2 separate regions of the Mus musculus genome follow, and region 1 is reported to be linked to region 2. Evidence: microRNA targets listed by miRTarBase, many of them from high-throughput screens and not tested one by one. Region 2 holds a microRNA gene; the other region holds the end of a gene's coding sequence.
What was found. Region 2 holds the annotated microRNA mmu-miR-9-5p (UCUUUGGUUAUCUAGCUGUAUGA, at 2,093-2,115, opposite strand). A microRNA usually pairs through its seed, bases 2 to 8, with sites in the 3' UTR of a target mRNA and lowers its output. Matches are read on the target gene's strand: a 7mer-m8 pairs with bases 2 to 8, a 7mer-A1 pairs with bases 2 to 7 and ends in A, and an 8mer does both.

Region 1 (3,406 bases), not on the chromosome of region 2:
ATAGTTTTAGTAATGTCAGAATGACAATGCTAGGGAAACCTGCAAACAAGAGTAAATGTAGGGGAAGTTGTGTAAGGACTCAGGAACACTTCCTGCAAAGACTTCAAAGGAATATCCTGAATTATCCATCAATGTGAGTGTAGGCCTATTTTTTCTTATCTGTAAAGTAGTCATAAAAACACATAGGGAGTGTGCAAGGGTTAAGTGAAACAATTATGGCATGTGAGTCCTTTCTGGGTGCTCACGTCATCTTGCCACTGGCACAAGAACTCTCTTCCCTCATTCTAAACACAACTGAAGTGCAAGTGGAGGTTTGAATGGGAATGGACCCTGTAGGCTCATATATTTGAATGCTTGGTCTTGGTTTTGGTTGGTGGAAAGGTTTGGGAAGGACTGGGAGGTGTTTGGCCTATTGGTACTGTGTCACTGGAGATAGGCTTTAAGGTTTCAGAAGTCCACACCATTCCCAGGTAGCTCTCTTCACCCACACAGAAGCCTCACACTTGTGAATCACGTCTTACACTCAGCTATGTCTCCAGCACCATGTCTGCCTGCCTGCTGCCATGCTTCCTGCCACGATGGTCATGGACTATCTCTGAAACTGAAGTTAAATGCTTTCTTTTGCCAGGTGTGGTGGCGCACGCCTTTAATCTCAGCACTCGGGAGGCAGAGGCAGGTGGATTTCTGAGTTCGAGGCCAGCCTGGTCTACAAAGTGAGTTCCAGGACAGCCAGGGCTATACAGAGAAACCCTGTCTTAAGACAAACAAACAAACAAACAAACAAACAAACAAACAGCTTTCTTTTATGAGTTACTTAGCTCTTCACAGCAATAGAACAGTAACAGAGAAGTAGTGCTATATCAATAACACACGGTAACTCAAAAGAAAAAGGTTTTATTCTGATATATAAAACAAAAAATTTAATATATAATGACAGATTTTTTTTTGAAAGAAGAAATAAAATGGTAGGAGTTCTGTTTAGAAAAATACTCTCAGGCATCTGCTAAACACATGTAATTCCTCACAGGCAATAGCTCACAAAGGTCTGACCTCTTCACTTAAATTTTTTTTCTTTTGAATAAACTGATACACCAAGTGACAGTATAGCCGAGAACAAGTCTTATAGGAACTTAGCATCCTTTTTTTTTTTTTTTTGGTTCTGTAATATTTGTCTTAGTAAAGCACATTCCAGATCACTGCAGCAACATGGAAACAAAACAGTTGCTTTTAGCAGTTTAGAAGCCATGAGTCTGGGTGCCTGGATCCTCACCGAGGCCCGGGGAGTATCTTGCTCTCCTTGTGTGGACACTCCGCACATAACGGAGAAACAGGCACAGGGCAAGGAAACGATCCTTAACCAAGGCCACCTCTGCCCAGGAAACAGTTCCCCAAAGGAAGGAACAACACTATTTGACAGTATGAGTTCTGGACAAAGGCCAATGCTGAGATGCATTCTCCATCTGGCATTCATGAAGTCAGGACAGTTCTGCGTCTTACCAGCAGGTGGCACTAGACCATAAGGGCAGCAGCTGGGGCACTCGACCTGGAAGACGAAGATGCTTTAAAACCTTTATTTACATGAAGGAGTCACTTGGTCAGTTTGTCCTCAGTTAATCAATTGGATATTCTCTCCCAACACTGTATCCAAACAGAAGGCGCAATTCATATAAAATTTAACTGGGTCAGACATTGATACACCACCTCTAAGGAGAAAGAAAAGTGATCTGTCAAAACTATTTAAGTTCCACGGTGACTTGTAGTTAAGATGATTCCTGCCACGGATCGCTATTCTAGGAACAGGCACTGACATGCTCGAATCTCCTCTTATAAAAATAACTAGCTAACATGCACATTCACCCACGGCTGCGGGCCTTCAGAGGTACGAGACTCATTTCTACTGAAGATGCCTTAAAACCGCCCTAGTCAGCCAACCCAGAGGAAACACGGATGGAACAGTTGGCTTTTAATCCCACGTGCTACCACTGGCCTCACCTTCTAGCCAGCAGAGTTGCTGGGCTCCTAAATCCACTGGAGCCGCCGACAGCAGTGACCGCCTGACTGTCACGGCTGGGGCAGCTCCGCAGATGCAGGGCGTTGTAATCCCAGCGGGTCTTGAGTATAGTTCAGAGGGCTTTCTGAGCTGGTTGTAAACAGTGTGGAAACAGACTCTCTGTGATGGAGCCCAGCCATTGCTCTGTCACAGCCACACGGGGTCAGTGGAACACTCGGGCATCACAAGATAGTTTTACATGAACTGGTTAAAAACATGAATTTTACTGTTTTTAAAAAGTTATCTATAAAGCTTCATTTTAAAAACAAGTATTTAAAAAAATGTTAAAAATACTCTCTGCACTTTTGTGTTGTGTTTCACTCCACAAAGGTTCTGGACAGGCACTGAGGCCTGGCCCAGATAATTTGCAGTTGTGCATATTTTAAGTTTGTGGAAAAACCCTATAAAAATAGTATTCTTGTTTAAAAGTTTAAATAAAGAATAAGGTTGTAGGAATGATGATGAAAAAGAAAAGATGAAGTACACAATTATTTTTCTTATTTTAAAATTGACATAAAAATGGAAAGCGCTTCTCTTTGGAGTCACTATATATCTAACAGTACTACATGCTATTAATATTTGCCACTCATGGGTCTTGGTAACACACAGTCTGTCTGGGACTCTAGCCTGCCCAAGTGGCTCGAGCCCTAGAGTGTAATGGCTGGCCCATGTTCCTCCACCCCTCCTTGGGGGAGGACCAGGCTGTGTCGGGGGTCTGGCTTCAGAGAGCTGAGAAATCTGTGGATGCTGCCGTTGCTCTCCCTCCCAGAGCTATGCAGGCTCATGTCCCTTCTGTGCAGCCCGTGAGCAAGGCTGGTGCCATTGGCCCTGGAGAGGCTGCCTGGAGGTACAGCCTGCGTCTTGGGAATGTGTTGAGGTTCTAGAGCCCCTTCAATGACAATGTCGGCTTCCTCGTCACTCTCCACGTCCTCAGAATTCTGCAGGACATGGGCACCTGGCAGGCTGTGGTGACTGGTGGTGCTGTCTGTGGAATGCACAGAGCTGCCGGACGTGCGGCTGCTGCGGACCACATTGTTCCTTTGGTTGGCCGGCTTGACAGTGACAATGAGGTTGTGGCTGTTGGCTATCATCATGTCTGTGACTTGATCCAAGGTCTTTCCAGCTACCTCAATCCCATTCACCTCCAGGACTTCATCATTCACAGCCAGTAGCCCAGTGCTCTCCGCAAGGCCCCCGGGTACCATTCGAGAAATGAAGATACCTGGTACCTTTTCTAGCCCATGGGGCGTCACCCGCACGCTGGTGCCATCTCGAATGTAGAAGCCCAGTGGCTTCTCATAACCGTGTCTGTAGAGCCTCACTCGGCGGTGCGTCTCCGGGAGGATGTCCACGTCA
Region 2 (3,406 bases):
TTTGCACAAACAGTGCTTCCAAGGTAAATAAGCAAGGGTCTTCTCGACTGCCTCTACAGCAGTCAAACTTTGGCACGTGTACAGCGGCCAAACTGAGAAGTTGTGTTATTAAAGTCTCTTGGCTTTTCTAAATGAAACTACCAGTGGCTTTACAGGTTTCTCTGGTGTCAATCTTACAAGAAGTTGAAGCTATAAAGAAAAATGTACTGTCCCTGAAGAAAACTTATGCATTTGGGAGTGTCAGTAATTTAGGCCATATGAAAGAAAAGAAGCAATTTTGGAATTTTTTTTCTCATTGCAATGCTTGTATTTATGTGCAAATGCCTATACAAATGTTTGCCTGATAAAATGTAACAGGATGCAAGGAACTTCAAAAAAGGACTACAGTGGTTTCTCCAAAGCCTCAAAGTTTATGCTGGGACTAGTGACTTTTAGATGAAGAGGGAAGAGGAGGAAGAAAAGGAAGAGGAGGGGGAAAAGGGAAAAAAAAAGCTCATCCGCTAGGACAATTCTAAAACAAAACAAGTTCTCTAACATATTGTGATTGTAATCAACTTTCTACAGACTGATGACTTTATAGCTTTATTTCCAGAATGTAGATTAGCATAAGTAGGCCAAGTTCCTGTGTGTCACACAAGGAAGTAAACAACCCGATGAAGTAAGTCATAATAATGAATGCTATGAGACATGACTTTAAAATATAACACAGCCAAAACAAAAGCCAAAGGTGGTCACAAGGCCCTAACCACATACTGAGGACTTCTCTGAGAAGGGCATGCAGTTCTGGGGCACTCTTGGCACCCTTTCCACTTGTTTTCCTTAAATGGTGAAAATTTCAACCAAAGGAGAAATCCAAATTTAATCATGGCCAGATTAAACAGAGGTTTAAAAATGAACAGAGACAGTACATAGCAGCTACCAACCAGTTGGTGTTGCCATTTGGGAGGCTGCAGATGGCTGTGGGTGGGAAATGCCTTTACTTTCTTAAGCGATGGAGATGAGTATGGTGTGTGTGTGCTTGATGTTTTTTTCATACCCCTACCCCCCAACAGGGCTGTCTGTCATAGGCTGCCGGCCAGGCTTTACCACTTGCCCCCGAGCGTGGGAATCGGAGCGTCCTGCCGTTCACATCTCCTGCTTTCCGTTTAGCGGAATCAATTAGGCAAGACAGACCCTCAGATTCCCCACCCCCTTTCCATTTTTGTCAGGTCTATATACGTCCTAATTATTTCAGTTTGGGATGCCAGAGCTGTTTCCTGGATAGACCTGATCATCCTTAAACAAAAAGAGAGGAGGCGCACACGTGGGTTGTGGCGTAAATGTCACTTTCATTTCCAATGCTAGGCGCAGAGTAAGACAGAACATTTTTTTAACACTTTGACAAGAGGGGAGGCGATCTCGTCTCCATCATGTCTTTCTGCTTCAGTAGCTTCCTCAAGGAAACCCTCTTGGAACAGAGAAGCATCTGTCCTTGTATTTTGAATAGAAGAATAAAAATCAGCCTTTGCCCCCACCCCTTTTCCCTGCTAGCTCTAAGTCTTCGGTAGATATAAATTATTAACCTTCCAGTATAAGCTTTACTGAAAGTCTAACTTCACAGAATTTGATGTACACACCCAAATACATAGAAAGTTTCCAGGCACAAGCTTCAAACTTGGGGGAGGGGCCTCAGATAGGAACAGCCCAAATCTACATAATTATGAAATCATTTTTAAGCGAGGTACCAGACATCACTATAACAGCTTTCTAAGAAAAAAAAAGAAAAAAAAAACCTCATATGTAAACGTTTGCTTCAAAATGAACAATATAGAAAATACATGCATCGTCACCCGTAAAAAACACTACACAATTCTCCTCTCCAGTTGTACAAGCCCCTCAAAGCCTGGCCCCTTTAGATTTCAATATGCGTGTCACTTAATTTTCTTGCATCCCACTTTCAATCATAAGATAAAAAAAGTTAGATTCAATAAGCATTCCTGACCTTTCTGGTTTTTACTGTCTCTTGGTTGCAGTCTTTCTTTCCGGAACGTTCCTCGGTGACCTTGAAGGAGTTTTTACTTTCGGTTATCTAGCTTTATGAAGACCAATACACTCATACAGCTAGATAACCAAAGATAACAACTCGCTTCCCTCACAAGGCTGCCTTCCTCTGGCTGAACTCCAGATCTCGATCCTCTTTGGCTTTAGGGAAGCGTAGTCCTCCGGGGTACTTGCCGCGTTTAAGCTTCTCCTTTCATGTAAACATGACCTGGTTTCTGTCTTAGTGTGTGCGGCTAGAACATCCAAATGAGATCTGTTGCATTCAGAGTTTATTCCAAACTTTTCCCCTTCCAGCAAGTAATCTCCAGTATCGTTAGCCAACAATTCATCTATGAGTATCAGAAATTAAGACCAGAGACTAAGGTGCAGCAAGCTGTTGGGGGTGAGCAGCAGTGTCCTTCTCTTCACAGGCCTCTATTTGCATTGTAAATTGCTTCATTCTCACGGAAGATTCTTTAGCCTTCCTCTACTGAGATGTATAAAGCCATCGGCAGTTTCCAACGCTGGTTAAAGAGGAAGAAGGGGGAAATCCCATTCTATAGAAGTGACAGCTGATTCAAAGATCTGCTCCGGATCATTGGGTTAGGCATCATGATCTTTTTTACCAAGTGCAGGCAGCTTGATTGCACATATCTTGTATGTGAATGTTTTAAGGGAGATCCTCGATTTCTTAGGACTTCTAGGCGGGCAGAGCATGCCCTCTTGCTGGCGTACTGCTGCCCCGGTCTGAAAGAAGGAGAAAAGGGCCATCATTGGAGGGGCTTTCACCGCCAAATTGTGGACCAGCCCGGCAAGGTCAAAGGTTTGAGACTGCGGGAGACCAAGGTAATGATGATGTCATGAGAAATCTCAAGTACATGGTTATTGATATGCATCAGTGGTCACCCAACTGCCCCACGCCTGCTGCCAGGAGTAGCACAGGCGACGGCGGCGGCGACGGCGGCAGCGGTGGCGGCGACGGCAGCAGCAGCTTTGCAGCAGTCCCTATATTCTCAATCAACATTTCATCCACTAGCACTACGGACTGCTCCTTGAAAAGCAACCCGCGGCCTTTTACCTCCTTGGCGCTAGTGTAGATCGCTCTAATATCCAAAGAATGGAGAAAATCTCTCTCTAAGGATAGATAAAAGCATTTCAGGTCTGGGGAACTTCTTTGCCTGCATTTCTCTTCTGGCAGATTGCATAGGCAGGCAGATGGAAGGCACTTTACTATTGCTTAAAGCAGGGCCTCGCTTTCTGGGGCTGGGAATCAGCTCTGTTTTTACGCAGTGAGTCGATGGTTACAATGACAATTTGCTTTGGTGTTATGTTTTTAATGGCTTTACAGCTCAGTCATGTTTTCTATCTGTGTACCGTGGCGATAGGG

Region 1: the mRNA of Pard6g is a reported target of mmu-miR-9-5p. Seed matches in the 3' UTR shown: 7mer-A1 at 2,584-2,590.

Annotation. Positions count from the first base shown.
Region 1 is chr18:80,117,114-80,120,519 of GRCm38, reverse strand. Pard6g (par-6 family cell polarity regulator gamma) reads right to left here. Exons shown (of 3, transcript NM_053117.3): 3 at 880-3,406. The coding sequence ends at 2,698. Among named protein-coding and RNA genes, the nearest start is that of Adnp2, 33 kb to the left of the region's middle.
Region 2 is chr13:83,737,530-83,740,935 of GRCm38, reverse strand. It overlaps Mir9-2 (microRNA 9-2), which reads right to left and starts at 2,122; the gene lies at 2,051-2,122. C130071C03Rik (RIKEN cDNA C130071C03 gene) reads right to left here. Exons shown (of 4, transcript NR_152245.1): 4 at 1-2,766. It overlaps Gm51268 (predicted gene, 51268), which reads left to right and starts at 2,060; the gene lies at 2,060-2,115.